Astyanax mexicanus: one gene and its partner. The protein of the gene in region 1 interacts with the protein of each later gene in a biochemical or structural test. Links are inferred from orthologs where the notes say so. Each region holds a gene or a part of one and is shown in the gene's direction. Other genes may lie near its edges.

Region 1 (10,241 bases):
GATCTTTCCTGGGTTCAACAGCTTTGGTGAGGTTCCCCGTCTCCTTTTTAAGAACACTCAGCAGCGTCTGAGAACTTTCTAGAATCTAAAAAAAAAATACAGAAATTAGCAGGTGGAGAAAGAGTAATTGCTATTTAATTTCACTTAAACATAAGGAAAATGAATTATCCAGTCTTAATACACTTACAACTTAAAAGCAAGAAGTTGTTTTTTTGAAAAATAAAACTACTTGAGTGATTACTTCAGGCAGACGTGGGCCCTGTTTTAATATATTCTTAATCGATTAATCAAATTTCTAAGAATATCAAGGAATTCAATAGTGCTTAAAGAACCCTGACCCAACTATAACCAACTACATATGGTATGTCAGTCTGGTTTAATTTGATGAATTTAAGTTTAACCTAAACAGAAGTCACTGTACTCTGTATGGTATTTAAATAGTATTTAAAAAGTATTTAAATTGTGTTTTTTAAGAATCTGTCATCACTTATGAATATTGACTGAACGTGTGTCAATATAAATACTGTGAATCATGAAAATGTATTTAAATTTGTGAAAATACATTTTACCATAGTTTAACCTGACCAGTTTCCTTTCATCAGTGTACGCAAGTATTGTTAAATCAGTTGACAATTAGATTAGGAGTGTTGGGGCAGAGAACTGGAACTGTGAAGTGACTGGCTAGACTGAACCTGACGCATGAAGCTGATCTGAATTGATTCTGCATATAAGAGTGTAGAAAATAATCTTTAGTTGAATATTAGTTAGGTTAATGAGTAATTCCACATTTAAATATTGTTTTTATTTATTAAACACTGTCGAAAGAAGAAGAACAATTATGTCGAACAAACGTAAAAAAAATAAATTTAATTAAGGAAATTGTTTCTCAAAATACTCAACATGCTTTAAAAAAAGAAAAAGAAAAAACAGTCTACAGTTTTTTAATGAATATATTACATACTGCAGGAATTATAAATAACCAGAAAAAAAATGTTACTGCTATTGAAACATGAGTGCTCTAATCGCTCCCAATTTGAGTTACTGGTGGTGCTATTTAAATAAATAGGGTAAACCTGCAGTAAAGATTAAATCCATAATTCCTGCCATTTCATATAGTAACAAAGTGCTGTGAAATATACATTAAAATTTCAGAATCACAGTATTGTGACATCATCGTTATTGTGGGCAACATCTCATAATAATATTGTATAATCAGGTGCCCTGTGATTCCCACCCCTAATCACATACTGTAAATAAATATTATTTAGCTCTTTTCAACTACAGTTTACAAAATAAGAAGCTGCGTCAGATTGGCTCACTGGCTCTTATCCTCTCACAGAAGTGTCTGCACACAGTAGACATGGCCCAGGATTACTGGGCCAATTATAAGACTCAAACACTGTCCAGGATTTACAAAATGTATTTATTTATTTATTTTTAAATGCCTGGATGCTGACCTTCATGTACGCGGCCTCAGTCTCAGCGATGGTGCGGTCGAATTCAGCTCGAGCCGTGAGGCGGTGGGCCAGGCTCTCGTTCACCCGGCTCAGCTTCTCAGTCAGCACCCGGATGTCGTGCTGAAGACGAGCCTTCTCTGATTCTTCCTGCTGGATCTGCTTATTCAGCTCATCCCTCTTAAAGCACAGCTCCTCGATACCTGAGAAGAAACAACTGTGATATTAAGCATAAATGGACAACTTGCTCTTACAATAGGTTTTACACATCTAATGCATGTACATTTTTTAAATTGTGAACAATATTATACCTTGAAATATGGTGCCATATCACCCACCCCTAATTATATAACAATTTTTTATTTATTTATTTTTTTACTGTTTTTATACAAAAAAAAAAAATCACACTGCTTTCATTTCCCATTATATATCTACTAAAGACAAATTATATCTGTCCAGTATCATTTATTTCTTTTACTCTAATCCTGGATATATGGAGATATTTGGAGTGCATTATTAATATCATGACATTCTGGATCATTGACTTCTGTTACAAATCTGATAAAATTCTTGTATAATAAATAATAAAATTTCAATAATAAAACAATATTTTCTTTTTTTTTTTTGCAGTAGTGTGTTCTTGAAATATTTGTTTTTTTTATTCAGCGTTTTGTCATATTGCCAAAAGTATCATTATTGCGAAAATATCATAAAATATCATGATATAATTTTAGTGCCATATTGCCCACTCCTAATGTACATCCACTATACATCCAAAACGATGAAGACATCTTGCTCAGTCGTTGTTTCTTTGTTTATTCTGCTTTTTTGAAGTAATTTTTGAAACAATTATCTCTACTGTCCAGGAAAGACTTTTGGAGCATTGCTGTGAGAATTTAATTGCCTTTAGTGACAAGAACAGTGACCACACAACTCCCCATCCTAATCCATCCCATCCCCTTATGCATGGTGCCAACATGTTCATGTTTATCTGTCCTATTCTATAGGCAATACTTCTCCACAGGCACTAGACAAGCTATATTTGTGTGCACTTGCACGTCTGTGTCAGCACTGGGTGCAACTGGAAATAGCTGAATGCATTCTTTGGAAGGAGTATCCACAAACACTATGACAAGTAAAGCATCAACATGATCTACGCAGTTAATTACTGCAAAGTCCAGGTAATGGAACTTCAGTGGGAGTTTGTTTACTTATAGATCACAGCAGACATCTTGCTGAATCATGTAAAAGTGATAATGACGGAGGGATGTGGGTGTGTTGGCTTTGTCCTGACCTCTTGAACCCTACCTTTTTTAATTTTAGTTCCAAGACCTGTTACTCAGTATACGCAATAAATGATTCAGTTTGTAGTATAAATGCATAAGATTTTTGTTCTTTAGTGTTTTATGAACACTGAGTAGTTACAGACAGTGTAAGTTTATTTGATATAGTACAGCAAATCCTCGTACTAAGTATAGGGGTGTGCCAAACAAGCATGTGTAAACATTACCTGGCCCAAAAAAAGAAATAAAAAAGGCAACACCACCACCAATTTTTTTTTCTTTGATTGCAGCACACATTCACTGTGGCATTGTTTCAATAAGCTTCTGTAATGTCACAATGTTTATTTCAATCCAGTGTTGCATTAATTTTTCACCAAGACCTTGCATTGATGATGGTAGAGTCTGACCACTGCACAAAGCCTTCTTCAGCACATCCCAAAGATTCTCAATGAGGTTAAGGTCTGGACTCAGTTGCCCTCATTCTTTCAGCACATACTGTTGCTTAACCTAGACCTGACCTACTGCAGCATCAACCCCACATCATTTACTTACTTAAATCCAGGTGGCAATTTTATTTCATGCAGTGTATATTATATCAATATAACCATATAGGCCAACCCAAACCATCAAACCAAGCTGTACTGCTTGAATTTTTGAACCAGGACTGGCATAAAGTTATCCAAAAGCAGTGTGCAAGACTGGTGGAAGAGAACATGCCAAGGTGCATAAAACTGATTAAAAATAGGGTTATTCCATCAAAAATGTATCTTAAACTTTATGAATATGGACTTGTTTTCTTTGCATTATTTAAGGTCTGAAAGCTCTAAATCCTTTTGTTATTTCAGCCATTTCTCATTTTCTGCAAATAAATTCTCTAAATGACATTTTTGTATGGGAGAAATGTTGTCTGTAGTTTATAGAATAAAACAACAATGTTCATTTTACACAAACATAAACCTATAAATAACAAAATCAGAGAAACCAATTCAGAAACTGAAGTGGTCTCTGAATTTTCGCCTTTTTAAATTGTTTATAAATGAAAACCTCACATTTTGTTAACATTATAGCATGTTGTATTTTTTCAGTAAAAGATAACTCATGCTACAATGTAGTAAATAATACAAATAAATAATATATAAATATAGGAATGTTTTAACAAACGTTAGACTGGAAGGTACTGTATATAGTAAGATATATAGCTAAATAACATGAATTTTAATGGAAGGCCTGCAAAGTAAGGCTGGGTCTGACAGCAGCTACCTTAAAACTACCTAACCTAGTTTACTTAATCTAACTCAGCTAATCTCAGTCCACCAACTGTCAGCTCACATAGCTCAACATTAACATTAACCCCGACAGTCACTGAAACAACCAGTAAAACACAGTCAGAACTTTAATTTAACAGTTTTACATTACTATAATAGACTTTATTAATATAACAGAGTTAATGTAGAGTTACTCACACTTCACCAGCTCGTTGTTGTAGGTCTGTAGAGCGGCTCCTTGTTGGGTCATGCTGACTGTACTGAGTTTCAGCTCAGCAGTAAAGTAAAGTTAGATTAAATAAGATAGGTTAGATATCTCTAAAATCCTCACACTCCTCGTATATACAAGTTTATCGCACAGCTGTAACTTCACTCTTAATAGAAAGTTTGAGCTGAATCCATTCACTCCCTCTGACTCCAGCCTCCTTCTGTTTCTACAACAACCTCAGCCTGCAGCTCTTCTTCTTCTCCTCCTGAAATAACGCGCCTTATGGCGGGTGGAGACACTGCAGTTCAGCGCGACTCCGCCCCTGCTGGACTGGAGAGGAATAAAATACAGCTTTAACCCCTTCAGACCTTTCAGCGTTATATTACAATGAAAATATACAAATATAAATATAAAATATAAAATAAAAAATGCACAAAAAATAATAATCTAATACTCTAATATGACGTCCAGTTAAATCCAATTAACTAAAATATCTAATAGTTTTTTTTATGTCCATTGTACTGGAAGCCTGTGTTTTAAATTTGATATTGACCTTTAATTTCACAAACCATTTCTACACAGTAAAAATAATACAAAATAAAAAGTACATAACATTTGCATCAATTAGCTTTTATTCTTTTTTAGAAGATTGATTAATTTCATTATAAACAAAATTAATTCTATATACAAATACAAATCACAAATAAAATCAAATGCAGCAGAAAGAAGAAAAAAAATGTTAGAATATCTGCCTCATTTGTTCCAAGAATATTTTCAAACATTAGTAATTTACCAAAAAAACAAAACTAAACAAAAACATCAAATCCTTCCCAAACAACAGTTCGTATAGATACACATTATACTATTTAATTTTTTTTAAACAAACCAACTTTTATCATTCTTTTTAACACATACATTGTTCTAGCATATTTAACGTCACTCTCCAAATGATTCCACAATCTTATCCCTTGAATTTAAGTACAACGCTCTTGTTTTTTCCAGTGATGTGGGCGCGGCTAAGCTAGTGTTTCTTTTTTAACTATTTTTTTTAACAGTTTTGCATGAAACTGGGTTTGTCTAGTCAGGAAATCTATTTAAATATGTATTTATAATAGATTAATATTCCTTTCTGAAGCTATTCTCATTTTTCTAGGTTGCTAAATAGAAATATATAAAGATTTTTTTACTCAACATGGTTTTACTTCATAGCTTTGGCATTTGTAAATCGTAAAAGCTTGTATACAATAGCTACCTAATCAAGTTTTTATTTTGTCCAGTTTTGTTTTCAATAGAGACCGAAGGATTGATCAGCACTGTTGTATAGGATGTAAATCCATTTTGCATACTTGTTTCTCAAAACGTGTGAAAATATAATGGCAAAAATTACAAACAAAATTAAAACCCTTCATTTGCAATTTAAAATGGCCTTTTGCCATTTCACTTTCATTATCATACAGGTATTTCCCAGTCAAATGTAAAATAAAAAACTGTGAAAAGAAAAATCTAAGCTTTTTTCATTTTACCACATTTGCAACAAGTTGGAGCTGCTTAATATTTTCCAGAGCTGTATATTTTATGGTAAGGTTATAATAAGTGGGGATACAGGTAACAAATGGTATTTTTTCAGTGTTCCAATTAGTTTTTATGAATGTTTTTAGTCACATATCTTACATTTGCAAGTAGGTCTATGTACAAGACACTGTGTTTAACAATAAAATGTATTTTGTGTGCACATTTAGACATGTAATTTCCTGTGGATAAAAAAATACAGCCTTTTCAGCGTCATCGGGTCGTGGACGTCATCACTGAGGGACAGCAGCTTGAAGAAGAGCGCGGAAATAAACAGCAGCAGCAGGAGAACCAGAGCTAATGGAGATCGTATAGCTCGAGTTGCTGAAGCTAAGCCGCTGTAATCACTGCACACGGCGGTACAGAACCTCGGGGCGCGGGCTGTTCGGTAGAAATGCTGCGGGGACGGCGGGCTGTATGTTTGTAGGCGGTGGTCGGACCCGCGGAGCTGGGGGAATGAAGGACGGCGGGGCGGTGCTGGTTCCCCCGGGTCTGCCTGCAGCCTGGGCCGCGGTCACCGCTGCTCTGGTGAGCTGCTGCTGTGCAGATATATAGGCACTGACAGTCCTCAGGGTTATCACTGAGCTGAGTAACGTTTATTATTATGATGTAGGAATGTAGTTCGGGCTATTCTTAATCTGATACATACAGTCTAGGTTAGCTAGCTAGCCTGCTAATAGTGTAAACATCCTGCAGTACAGCACAAAGACAGGGTCAGCTGGCTGCACTGATCTCCAGTTTACAGTTATATATATGTTGTGATGCAAGAACAGTCAAGTTTTGTCAAGTTTTTGCTCTTTCAATTCTAATAGTTTTGGAGGTGTAAGCGTTTTATGCTTGCAAATGTATATTTACATTCGTATATGTTAATGTAGATGCTTGGTACAAACACACATTAGCCAATGAATAATATATCCCAACTAATTGTGCTCTATTTGACAAAAATATTACGATATTTCAGGGCACTTTTGCGTTAACAAAATATTTTTTCGTGATGTGTTTCTTTTCTTTCTATGATTTTTTTTCTTTTACATTATAAATGTAATATTGAAGACAATATTAAAGCTATACAGGAACATATTCTGAAATATTTTCTAAATTGAAAGTGTTAAACAAACCAGTATATGTTTTATAAGTACCACATTTAGCTTTGATGACAGATCTGCACACTCTTGGTACAGTATTTTAATCTCAGGGTCTTTATGAGGGAGAGTCACCTGGAATAGTTTTCTCAACGTCTTGAAGGAGTTTCTGGAGGGGCTGAACAATAGTTACTGCTTTTCCTTCATACTGTAAAGCTCCAGATCATCCCAAATTGCCATCTTAGTTAATCAGGTTTAGACCAGGAGATTGTGGAGGACAAACACTTTTTTGTTTACTTTGTAATTTCACGTGTCCCTTAATTGTTATATCTTAAATGTATACACATATACAATGTTTAAAAAAATAGTAGAAAAAAAAAAATTAACTCACATCTGCATCCTGTAGGTTTCTCCTGCAGTACCGCCTTCAGTTCCTGATGACACTATTTCTGATGCTCTGGCTCTGCTGTGTGAACAAGGGCTGGCTCAGTATGTGGAGGGCTGGCTGCTGGAGACCTTGCAGGTTCGTTTGACCACTGATGTGGCTCCGGAGTTCTGGAGTAATTTAGAGCAGCCTAAAGGAGATTCACAGGAGAAAGACAGAGCAAGATGTTTGCTAGATGCGTTCAGGACTCTGCTGCTGCGCCTTGAACCATTTCTTGGTAAGCTATGTTTTCTTCTGTTTTTGTAGGTACTGTTCTAAATCAAATGGAGATTGCAGTGCTTGAATGCTTGCAATTTTTGTCAGAAATGTGCTGATTCAGTTGCAGGTGAACAAACCTTATTATTATTCATTATTCATCACCGTTCATCATCTTTCCTTTTTCTCATCTGTTTCTAAACTTCCAGGTGGGCTTGAGCAGCTTGGGTCTTGGCAGGATGAAGGTCGTGGGGGTCTGGTGGGCCCTGGAGCCCATGGGCTCCGAGAGAGGGCCTTCTCGGTCATTCGTGCTATCCTCCTCTTTTCTCCTCAGCCAGTGCTCCAAAAGAGGGTGCTGGAGTTCTACAGTCGCACCTTCTCTGTGCACATGAGCCAGGTGGGAGAGGGTCTGGAGGTGGAGCAGGGAGCAGAGGAGGCTGACGGGGCCTGTGTTTGTCCAGGCTGTGCAACCCCACCTCAGCTGTGCTGGTGCAAGGAGGCCCTGGAGCAGCTGCAGGAGCTTAGCCACATCCTGTGAGTGCAGGAATATTGGGATTGCATTGTTTTGTAATATAGTGTAATGTAATTTACATGGGTGGGATATAGTTCTGCTACAGCACCATGGTAAAAAGAGAAGACATCAATATGATTACATATTCCATGCTGGAAAAGAAGAATTTGCCATACAGATGTACAAGCATTGGGTGCTGTGATGTAACTTTTTATGTGTTGTTGTTATAATGGTGTGTGGCAGATCCAGACTGCAGCTCTTGGGGAGGGTTAGCTCGGAAGCAGTGACCAGCATTCTGCACCGACTGATCGAGGAGAGGATGGAGCAGCGGTGCCGGGGAGAATATGAGAATTCCTTTCTGGCAGACTTCAATGAAGTATGAGGATTCTGGCATATATTTTAATGGTCAATTTGTTGTTTTGTTTTAAGGACTGAACAATCTATGTTTGTTATTCCTCACAGTTTTGCAGATATTTAAGTATATCTTTTCATGGGATGAAACAGACTACTCTTCATTGTGTCAGTGTCATTTTGTCTGTGTATAGATTATATAACAGTGTAAGTTTATTCTTCCCTCAAAATAACTCAACGTACAGCCATTAATGTCTAAACGAAATGTTATTGAGTTATTTTGAGGGAAGAATAAATACACTGTCATATAATCTACACACAGACTACTCTTCATTGTGTCAGTGTCATTTTGTCAGTTTCATCCCATGAAAACCTATACTTAAAGATCTGCAGAAATTTGAGGGTTTTTTTATACTCTTTATTATTAAATAATAACTGTGTTATATTAATAGATTATACTGTCCTAATAAATGACACCAGAGACATAAATAACAGCTTTTTTAAATACAGTAACATGAAAATGTTATTGTTGAAAATGTTATAAATTCTTGCACATTAGTGTCCTCTGTTTGTGCTTTAGTGGTTGGAGCAGGTGCTCGGCTGGCTGAGCAGAGTCTTTGCCAGTGAAGTGGACGAGGCTGGCACTGATTCTGTAGCTGCCAAAGGAAAACCTGACCAGCCTGGCAGTGCCATCCTCCAACGCTGGCGCTGCCACATGCACCAGTTCTTTTGCCGCATTTACGTTAACATGAGGATCGATGAGCTTTTCAGCATCATTCGAGGTAAAAAGTCAAATGACCTTTTTTTAAAAAATATACACATTTAAGAATAGTTACTTTTAACTCAAGCACTAACTTAGCACTCCTACATTCTGTAAATAAGGTCACTTGATCACACAATTTCCAACTGTGCTGTGATGCTCTCAGGTCGTTCAGTATATAAAGTAAATGCTGTAAGTGCTGTAAGAAACCTTACACAAGTTTTAAAGGGCCTGTGACTGTCACAGTTCTTTTGGGTTTACTTTGAATCAAGATGTGTATGGTTAAATTAATTAATAATATTTCTAAAGAATTATATGAGTATTCAGTAGCTATAATGACAATTCATATATTCATGTAACATATGAGTTTATTCATATATTAAGCTAGCCGTTAGTCTTTTAATTATTCATTCATTTTTTCCACTCTTTTACTCTTTTGCCTACTTAAGATTTCCCGGAGTCCATCCCTGCCATTGAAGACTTAAAGTTCTGCCTGGAGCGGACCAATCAGAGACAGCAACTGCTCACCTCACTCAAGTCCGCTTTTGAGACACGTCTGCTGCACCCAGGTCAGGGGTGGTGGTGTGCATTATAACTGAAAATGACATTAATGGCCTTATTTAAACACATTTATTGTTTTATTTTGGTCTGTCTGTCTATATATCTCTATCTATATTTTAGTTAAAATATTCTTAATAATTAAAAGGTTGTTGCTCTTTAAAAGATTTAAAATGACATTATTAGGCTATTATAATTATAAAAATTACAATAATATTGTTTGTGGCAGTAATTTCTGGAACATCAAATAATCATCCAGACAAAAAGTGATATACTGACAGGCTTAAATATATCCAAAATATTTTCCTTAAATGACTCTAATAAACAAAATGTACTCTATATGTACTCATAATGAGAAAACCATACAGCACAATATGATACACTGAAGTCAGTACATTCTAATTCCATGATTTTATATCTCATTAACCTTAAATATTAATTTTTTTTTTAAGTTTTCTACTAGTTTTCTGCTTGTTCTTGCCACTGCAGGAGTCCACACATCAGACATCATCACTGTATACATTTCGGCCATTAAAGCTTTACGAGAACTGGACCCATCC
Region 2 (10,615 bases), on another chromosome or scaffold:
GTGGCGTGCTTGCAGAAATGGCTTCTTTCGCATCACTCTCCTGAAATATTACAGTGTCCATCAGTTATTAGATATATCAAACTGAAATGGCTGTTGCAAACACCCAAATATTTAGAACTAAAAATGATTAAGATTACAAGGGGTGCCCAAACTTTTTCATATGACTGTATTAGAGATGGGGATCCAGAGTGTGATGCTGTTTAGTAATGATTGGTAGTAGTTGGTAGCAGTTAGAATAGAGGCGGAGTCTCTGGCTTCACTTGAACTTACTCTCCTAGTGTCTAGAGCAGTACTAGCAACAGGGAGAATCCTAGTGAATGGGTTTGATAATCAAAGAGATAAACCAGTGTGCTCAGGGTATGTCAATTCTTATCTTTTTGATCTCATTTAAGCTCTTATCTCCACTGAGACAAAGCAGCTGATGATGTTCCTCTCTTTATCTCCTCACAGTATCACAGCTACCATTGCCTGCAACATGGATCTTACCAAATACCCGATGGACAGACAAGTGTGTACCCTGCAGCTGGAGAGCTGTGAGTGTCTGTAATGCCAGTTTTTATACTGTGACTCTCAGAGCAGATGATCTTTGCTCATTTAGCTGTTGTAATTAAGTACATTAATTTTGTGCAAAACAAGAACATCAGTAATAATAATGATAACAGCTAATAATATTTTCTTTTCTATATTTGATATTTTATTTTTGGCTATTGTTGGTGACTTCTAAAACTTTAACAAAGCATCACTTATTAACTAGGCTTAGTTCTATTGAGTTTGACAGCAGAAGGGCATGCCAAAAGTCATGGAATAGCAGTATGTAACTTGTTCAGGAAGTGCATCTTCAGGAGACGGCCCAAGAACACCCACACCTACACACATATATATATATATATATATATATATATATATATATGTGGTGAGGTGTTATCTTGTGAGTAAGGAACACATTGGTTTAACAAGGCCTAATGCCTAATAGTGAACTTTTCATAGGCATTTCAAGGTATTTTTTACTACAAAAATGCAAATCATTAATTTTACACTGCATATAATTTATGATTTATTTCCAACCTGCAGATTCTCCCAAAGTGTCTCCAAAAATATTTGAAACTTTTAATACATGGTGGTTTAGTGGTTAGCATGTTCACCTTCCAGTGGTGAGGTCCTGGGTTCAAGTCCCTATATGGATGGGGATCATGTAAATATCATATTTTAAATTTCCCCCAAAATTTAATACTCTAAAAATTGCCCTGATGTGTGAATGTGTGTGTGACTGTATGCCCAGACATGAATTGACAATGAATGTTTTGGCTCCTCAGTGCCTGGTATACGGTTGTTTCCGGTTGAGAGTATGCTGTGCACGATTGGCTGCTTCTTCTCACGGGTGTGTGTTGAGTGTGTGTAGAATTTAGTTATAAGAAAATGTAATTAAGTGGCGAAAAGGCGAAAAGTAATTTAGGGTTATTTCTATTGGTCCGTCTTTAATAAAACAGGACCACTATTAATTTAAAATAAAAAAAAGATGTTCCAACAGTGACTATAAGCTTTATGTGTGTGTGTGTGTGTGTGTGTGTGTGTGTGTGTTTAGGGGGCTATAATCTGCAGGACGTGGTGTTTTACTGGACTCGAGGGAATGACTCTGTGAAGGGTTTGGACACACTCCGTCTGGCTCAGTACAGCGTAGAGAGCTATCACACCACTGTGTCTGAGGCCGTGTATGAAACAGGTAAACTGAATTATTCATCATTAATTCATTAATTCAATTCATTTTTACAGTTAAATGAGTCTGTATGATGTAGATTATTCCATCTAATCGATCAACTAGTTAATCAGTCAGTCAGTTCCACTGTGGCTGTGTATTGGTAATATTCAGCGTTACTGTATTGACTCTGTGTGCAGGTTCTTACCCGAAGCTGGTGCTGCACTTCTCTCTGCGGAGAAACGTTCTGTTCTTTATCCTGGAGACGTACGTCCCGTCCACCCTGCTGGTGGTTCTGTCCTGGGTGTCTTTCTGGATCAGCCAGTCCTCAGTTCCTGCTCGAACCTGTATAGGTGAGATTTTTACATTTCCTTTTTAATTTTGCCATTTTTAAATAAATTAAAGCAACCTATATAAACTCCTCTTAAAGCTAATATCGGTTGCTTAAAAAAAAAAAAAAAAAAATCCAGTCAAAAGTTTTTATTATTTTTACATTTTCTGAATTGCAGATTAATACTCATCATCCAAACTATTAAGAAAGACGGTAACACTTTATTTTAAGGAACACAAATTAGGCGTTTATTAATGTGTTATTATTTGCTTAATAAAGCCTTAATTAGACATTTGTAAATGATTTATTCACTACTTATTAGGCTTTATTCTGTGTTATTAAGTGTTATTGGTGCTTAATTAGGGGTCTGTGATTGATTAAATATTTATTCAGTTCTTTTTAGCGTGTAATTAGTGATGAACAGAAGCTCACTTTACAATATGGTGCACATCTTGGTCTATTACTGACTTATTAACCCCTTAATAGCTCAATAAACTTCAGTACAGCCATAACCTTACCATAAACTCACATAGATCAAACTGCTGCCAATTATAATAACACTAATAACATGTAGAATTAGCTAATAATTAATGCTTAATAATCTGATTAACAGGGTGCTGACATAACTGTTTATTGTGCACTATAAGAAATAATACAGCTATTATTAATAATTTCCACATAATAGACCCCTAATTCAGCACCAATAACACTTATGACACAGAATAAAGCCTCATAATTAGTGAATAAATAATTTACAAATGTCTAATTAAAGCAAATAACAAGACATTAATAAGCGCCTAATTTGTGTTCCTTAAAATAAAGTGTTACCAGAAATACATATGAAATTATTTTATAAATGAAAAATTGTAAAAAATGTTTACATTTTAACTTAAATTAGACCCTTTATTTCAGTCAGTTTTATGAGGATGATCACCTAGAATTTCAGGCTTTCAGTTAACAGCTGTGCCGAACTCATCAATAGTTAATTACTTCAATTTCTTGCCTCTTAAAGTGTTTGAGAGCATCAGTTGTAAAGTTGTGAAGAGGTAGAGTTGGTGATCTATTATCTATTATATGTATTTTTCACAGGAGTGACCACAGTTCTGACGATGACGACTCTGATGATGGGTGCCAGGACATCACTGCCCAACGCCAACTGCTTCATCAAGGCCATAGATGTCTATCTTGGTATTTGCTTCACCTTCATCTTCGGAGCTCTGCTGGAGTACGCCTGTGCACATTTCTGCACCATGCAGCACCAAACTATTCTAGATGTACAGAGGGTAAGTGTTCTGTGTATATTTTACATATATAAATATTTATTACACACAGAGTGATCTATTTTAAGTCTTTATTTATTTTATTGTTGATTATTATGGCTTACAGCCAATGAAAACCTAAAAATCAGTGTCTCAGAAAATTTTAACATTATATACCACCAATTGGGAAAACACTGCACTGACTTTGGACTTGATAATAAAACACAGTGGATCAACACCAGCAGATGACAGACATGTCTCTCCAAACCATCACTGATCATCAGTAAATTTTACATTTCATTTGTAAATCAAGAGATCAGAGTCTGGAGGAAGAGTGGAGAGACACACCGTCCAAGCTGCTCGAGGTCTAGTGTGAAGTTTCCACCAATCAGTGATGGTTTGGAGAGACATGTCTGTCATCTGCTGGTGTTGATCCACTGTGTTTTATTATCAAGTCTAAAGTCAGTGCAGTTTTGTTTTCCCACAAAATCTTACAGCACTTCATGCTTCCCTCTGCTACTGACAACTTTTATAGAGATGCGGATTTCATTTTCCAGCAGGAATTGGCACACTGCCCACACTGCTAAAAAGTATAAATTGGTCTTATATAATAATCATTTTTATTTTATTTTTGGCTGTAAGGCACAATCATCAACAATGAAATAAATACATGCCTAAAATAGATACATTTGTGGGTAATAGTATTATCTATATAATATATGAGTTTCACATTTTAAACTGAATTATTGAAATAAAATAACTTTTCAAGTATTTTCTATTTTTTCTTAAAGACATAAACCATTAAAAATGACAATTACATTTGTTTTATTATGACAATTCAATGCTTTAAAGTATAACTTACTACAATTTTGTTTACTTATATTATTCACTTTGTCTCAGGAGCTTCTGAAGGAGTTTGAGGAGTCGAATGGAAACGGCACCATCCAATTAGTGACGTCCACCACACCCAACAAAGCCCTGAGCAAAGAAACACAGCCAGAGATGAGCGAGCAGTCTGTGCAGTCTGTGCAGTCTGAGGGAGACGAGCAAACAGAGAATAAGCAGGGGAACGGCTGTGGTCTGTCCTCGGTGAAGCAGGCGTCGCGCAGGGCGGCGTCCATGATGAGCGTGGAGAACCCCCACAACATCGACCGCCACTCCCGCACCCTGTTCCCTGTGGCGTTTCTCCTGGTCAACATCTTATACTGGCTGTATTACCTTTTCATCTAATCAAACAGACGCACTGGACTCATCTACGCACAATGGCCTAGTGAACCCGGCGACTCCGAGGACTAAACTCACGACTGAAAACACTCTTTAAGTCTTTAAGTGCCCTGTAATGCTGAACTGGACCAGCAGTCCATTCAAACAACAGACGACGACAACGTAGACAACAGATCACACAAATCAAACACAAGCACAAAGGAAAAAATTCAGTGACTATTCAGTATTTTTGTTGTTGTTGGCTTCCATATAATATATATATATAATGGCCTTCATGTTTCTACATCGTTAAAAATGTATACAGTTATTTATTTATTTATTTATTTATTGCAAGATTGAGCATAGGGAATCTGATTGTTATTGGCTGATAAATTCCATGTGTATGCTGTTTGTGCACTTCTGTATAGGCTGCAATATGATTCATTTATTAATACTTATTAAACTATCAATCGACTTACTGTTTGTTTGCTTGAATTTTTGGGGTTTTATTGACTTTCACCCAGAGACGGTTTATAGAGAAACTGCCCATTTCCCATCTCCATTATTATCACAGAAAATCATACCAATGAGTTAAATGTTGTTGAATGGAGCTTAAATGCTAAGCACTTATTTAAAAATAGTAACTAACTACTTATCTAATGTATTTCATTAATTTTGGGAAGTAAATTTATGTATTTCTCTAAATAATCAAAGAAAACATACCTGTATTTTTCCATTTTTTGTACAGTAGCATTACTGCAACTGTGAGCTGATTGGTGCTGTAATGTTGCTTATATGCTGAATATTGGCGGTTATGGCAGTTTTGTTTGCATTTTGCCGTTTCTGACTCTTATTTCAGGTGTTTAAAGGGTTACTTAACCTTCTGATTTTTGCTGACTTCACCCTCAGCTTAAATTTAAAAAAGGCAAAAAATGGGAGGGGAAGTTTGGGAGGGGCACTGAGTGATGTATGGGTTTAGAGGTGGGGCAGGAGGGAGAGCTGATTGGCTGAGCTGCAGCAGCAGGAAACCTCTGGATGTCAGCAGGGGGGTCATATTATTGATAGACTGATCTGCATATTGTGATGTGTCTGCGGAAATTACCACAGTAAAAGCATTTTTTAAAGGAGGATGAAAACTGACATGAGTATAAATAAACAAATGCACATATAAATGAAGGAGTGATTAAATAAATAAATAAATGTATAGATAAATACATGAATTAATAAATACATTTTATGTATTTATAGATTTATTAATTTACGTATTTCTACATTTATTTATTTATTTTTTTCTGCTTTTATTTATATATTAATTAATTTATTTCAATTTGCGTTTCATTTGCATTAGAGCAGTAAGAAACCAGTTGCTTTCGTCTGATTCAGCAGTTGACCAATCCTGCTTTAGAGCTACCTAATTAACATACAAATGCAGAAATACTGAAATAAATGAAAAGTGGAAATAAATAAATAAATAAATAAATAAATAATAAATAATATATGAAGAAATGTGGAAATACATGAATAAATAAATGTTCAAATGTTGAAACAAATAAATAAATGTAGAATAAATTAATATTGACGCATTAAAATATGGAAATAATTATTTAATTATAAAATGATATATTATAAAATTAATTATAATTTTAAGTGTGTCGTTTTTCAACATGTATTTATTAATTTATTTATCTCTACAACTATTTATGCGTGTGTTCATGTTTTTATATATTTATTCATGTTATATATATATGTGCATTTATTTATTTATACGTATGTCATTTTTTTGTCGTCCGTATTTTTTAAAGGTTAGTAAATGTTTATAAAAAAAAATAATCAGGACAGGTATGCTTTTTTACTTTAAAAGAACACATTTCTGCTATTAATATAATAAATAGAATTTATGGTATATAATGGCTGTATAAACTCGCAGTGGTGTGATCTGGCCCCAGGGCGGCAGCACCGCAGAATAAACAGAGCTGAACACAGCGCGGCGGAAGAGCGGCGGAGCAGCAGCCAATCAGGAGGCGAGTTGGGGTTTAAAACCGGGAAAGTTGAAACCAAAACAAGTCCGTTTATTTACTGAGAGAAACCTGACTAATCTACAGAGAGAAAACTGCGATTTATTGCGAAATTTCTGCGCTTTATCGGGGATTATCCGCTGTTTGGTAAGTTTACAGACATAGTTTATCATCGTGTTGATGTGTGTAGCTGTGTGTTATGCTGTTATTGAGTGTTTTTGAGGTGTATTCTGGGTGAGTTTAGTGGGAAACAGTTAACGTAGTATCTCTATAAACTTAATTACTTATTAACTTATTATTTAATTACTTTAGATGACTTTACCTCATTTTTCCAGCAATATTCTCTCTGTTTTTAAATTGAGACAGTCTGTAAACAAACTAGCTTAAGTTATATGTAAAAAATAGTTTCCTTGCCTATTAATACAGACAATAAAATCATGTTAGCTAACGTTACTACTTTTAAGTTTACATACAGATGTAACTTAAAGCCTAAAATCATTATTCTTAGAGAAAGTCATATATTAAGATAACGTTTAATATGTTACATAGCTAAATTTGACTTTATTATTCCCACATCAGGGATTTTTTTTTTTCCAGCAGAACGAAAAAATGTATAAAAATAGGAGACCAACATAAAAATAATAAGTTCTTAGATTTTTACCAAATTGAAAACCTCTGGAATATAAGCAAGAGGAAGATGGATGATCACAAGCCATAAAACCTGAAAAACTGAACTGCTTGAATAGATTTTTGCACCAGGAGTAAAGCAGCATAAAGTTATCCAAAAGCAGTGTGTAAGACTGGTGGAGGAGAACATGCAAATGAATGAAAACTGTGGTTAAAAACCAGGGTTATTTTACCAAATAATAATTTTTGAACTCCTAACTTTATGAATATGAACGTATTTTTCTTTTTGCATTATTTGAGGTCTGAACGCTCTGCATCTTTTTATTTTGTTATTTCAGCTATTTCAATTTTTTTTTTTTTTGCAAATAAATGCTCTAATTGACAACATTTTTATTTGGTATTTGGGAGAAATGTTGTCCGTAGTTTATAGAATAAAACAACAATGTTCATTTTACTCGAACTTATAGCCTAGTTAAGATGTAGCTAACCTACTACACATGGGGCAAGTACGGTGGCCGAGAAAGCCCAGCGCAGTGCAAATTGAAAAGCGCTGCAAAAGCACAAAACACATCCATCAAAATTACAACACAGGCGCAGCAAATAGAAAAACGCGCTGCAAATAGAACCACAACACAACGGAAGTGAGTCACAACACAACGGAATTTTCCCGGGGGACCTTAAAAGATGCTGTACCAGCTGTATACAAAGGACAATAAGTGGCAAACAAGCTTCTGAAAAGTAAGTTATGTTTATTACCTGTGATTACCACGGTTGTGTGCATATTATTAAAAGTTCTGCTTCACAAAACGCCTTGTTTGCCACTTATTGTCCTTTGTACACATAGTGAAGTCCGAGACGTTACTGAAGACGCAGCTTAGCTGGTATATCTTTTAAGGTCCCCCGGGAAAATTCCGTTGTGTTGTGACTCACTTCCGTTGTGTTGTGGTTCTATTTGCAGCGCGTTTTTCTAGTTGCAGCGCCTGTGTTGTAATTTTGATGGATGTGTTTTGTGCTTTTGCAGCGCTTTTCAATTTGCACTGCGTTGGGCTTTCTCGGCCACCGTAGAGGCAAGACCATAACATAAAGAGCCACAGCCAGCTTTAACTGTATGGGAAAACTCTTTAATGGAAGAAGTGTCCTTTATGTCCATTATTTTAATCCAACGTGTGCCTTATACTATGAAATGTGGGACAAGGCAGTATAACATTTAAATGTAGGTTAACATTGTCTTATTTCATATAGTCTTTTAGTACTAGTAGCGAAGTTGCTTTATTTATACATACATACATACATACATACATACACACATACATACAGTGTATGTGTGTATGTATGTATATATATGTATATATGTGTGCTGTTTTCCTGTACTTTGCGATTACTTTGAAACTAATAAACATAACAAAATAATAACTACAAGAATAAAAAGAACCGGTGTCTTGTCAATGTGTGCTACATTGTCAAACCGTGCTACTGCAGTGTTTATTTAAAGGTAAAAATATTGGCTGGCTAGATTATTCAGAAATTATTGTAGTTAATTTTTGTGATTTGTTCACTTGTTCTAAGTATTTCTTTTAAATATTCTTCTTTTAGTGAAACACCATGGATACCATGATTTACCTCGACCAAGAAAACGGCAGGCTCACCGCTCCCAACCTCAAATCTCGACAGAGGCTTCAGTCTGCACCTGGTGAGCTTAGATACACCTGGGAATGAAGTGCTCATAAAGTGAAATTTTGCTCACTATAGTAACAACACCAAGGACCAGTGCCTGGTTGCATGAAAGGCTTTAATGCTCTTAATGATCATCCCTTGTTGATAAGTGTGTTGCCTAAGAAGTTATCTGAGGGCTTTCTTAAGGGAACCTTTTAATCCATTAAATGTTTCCTTGAGTATCAAATTTACAGTGTGTGAAAATGGGACCCAAAACCTCACTTTAACTCCCGAAAAACTGAGTTACTGAGATGTATTTATTTATTTATTTGTTTATTTGTTTGTTTTAATTGATAGATTAAGCTGTATAGATATCTGTATAGATACCATTATTAATCTATTAGGTAGAATGCCACAAGTTCAATTCAGAGAGTTAAAGGTCATATAATATAATATAATATAATATAATATAATATAATATAATATAATATATAATTTGTAAGATTGGTCTGAAAAGTTGCTAAATCTACTGATCAAATTGCTAAATAAACAACACTGGCTGTCTAACAGCACTAGACTTATGATTTATGCAACCTTGTACAGATGCCTGGATGCTAAAGTCATATGTCTAACTTATTTAAAATAATTGGATGTATTGTATTTACCAAATTGCAGTATTTAAATAATAGATAATAAAGGATAATATACGGTCACTCCTATAATTCATGTATTGTAGCCCTTAGTGTGTCACACATGCACATTTAATGAATTTAATTGATCTGATTCCTTTTCTGATCCTGATCAGTTTCCTTTTTAATTTTTACAGAACAGGTTCTGAAAACTCCTCTACACCTGAAGAGCCGTCTTGGTGGATCTGTACAGTCGGCCCGTAAAGCTTTGGGAACAGTTAACAAGATTGTGTCCACCTCAGCAGTCTCTCAGAAAGGTGAAGCGCAGGTTAAACCTGTTGAAGCCCAGGTTGGTTACTTGTTTTTATTTTTTTTATATATAAAATCTCAGTGCAGAATCAGTTATTTGCAGAATTCTTAGATTTTAATTTCTTTTTCCTCCTTTTTTTTTCCTTGTTCCAGCAATGCAAAGCTCCTTCTCAGCCTGTTGGTGAAGATTATCCTGAAATTGAGAAGTTTTTCCCGTACAACCCCAGTGGTAGGTTTCTTTTGCAGACTGGTTATATTTAGGCCGGTCACCATAATTATCAATTTATGTACATGGCCTCGGATTTTGTCTTGATGAAATCAGCTGATATTTTGACTTTGTTTAAGCTGACTGGGTTTATCTTATTCATCTGACATTTACGTTTCTATACCTGAAAATTCTAATTGTATTTTTTTTAATGCCCTTTGCAAGTGTGTAGTTGCTTTATTATGCATTGTAGAATACAGCATGTAGTGATGCATGTGTCAAAAACCCATTAATGCATAAGATACCAGATCTTATATTGATGCCAATTTTAAAATTTAATCAGAAAATGAGGGAACACAGTTAAAAGAAGCCACTTTTATCTCCAGCACAAACTTGGTGCTCCTACACTCACTGTCTTTTCATTTTGGCTCAAGTCCTTAAATAACACATACTGAGTACATCACTAGAGCAGTGTGTGACTCTGTTCCTTCATCTGACTTTATTTACAGAATATTTGAGTGCTTTAAGGTTAATGCTAAAGGAAAAAAAAAAAAAAAAAAAGCTAAAGAGAAGTCTAAAATCTCATGTGTTGCTGTTATTTCTGGTGTAAAAAAAAAACAAAAAAAAAAAACATCTGAAATAAATCAAATTATGATTGGCCTTCTTAAATGTTTATGTAATTATCAATTTT

What was found. The genes of interacting proteins can lie anywhere in the genome.
Region 2: the proteins of anapc2 (region 1) and pttg1 form a complex in vitro, tested with the Homo sapiens proteins (2 studies listed by BioGRID, with this or other methods). The link is inferred for Astyanax mexicanus from reciprocal best matches to the Homo sapiens genes ANAPC2 and PTTG1.

What each region holds. Positions count from the first base shown.
Region 1 is NC_064408.1:19,791,113-19,801,353, reverse strand, and holds the start of anapc2 (anaphase-promoting complex subunit 2), read left to right. Parts: upstream 1-6,010; 5' UTR 6,011-6,196; coding exon 6,197-6,307; intron 6,308-7,267; coding exon 7,268-7,523; intron 7,524-7,710; coding exon 7,711-8,035; intron 8,036-8,255; coding exon 8,256-8,388; intron 8,389-8,943; coding exon 8,944-9,145; intron 9,146-9,572; coding exon 9,573-9,692; intron 9,693-10,170; coding exon 10,171-10,241. Other genes in the region: ssna1 (Sjoegren syndrome nuclear autoantigen 1), read right to left, coding at 1-85, 1,458-1,657, 4,201-4,252. UniProt on the Homo sapiens protein: Together with the RING-H2 protein ANAPC11, constitutes the catalytic component of the anaphase promoting complex/cyclosome (APC/C), a cell cycle-regulated E3 ubiquitin ligase that controls progression through mitosis and the G1 phase of the cell cycle.
Region 2 is NC_064417.1:50,019,711-50,030,325, forward strand, and holds the start of pttg1 (securin), read left to right. Parts: upstream 1-6,492; 5' UTR 6,493-6,648; intron 6,649-8,721; 5' UTR 8,722-8,730; coding exon 8,731-8,818; intron 8,819-9,607; coding exon 9,608-9,759; intron 9,760-9,872; coding exon 9,873-9,948; intron 9,949-10,615. Other genes in the region: gamma-aminobutyric acid receptor subunit pi, read left to right, coding at 451-533, 1,583-1,720, 1,894-2,046, 3,114-3,307, 4,184-4,513. UniProt on the Homo sapiens protein: Regulatory protein, which plays a central role in chromosome stability, in the p53/TP53 pathway, and DNA repair. Probably acts by blocking the action of key proteins.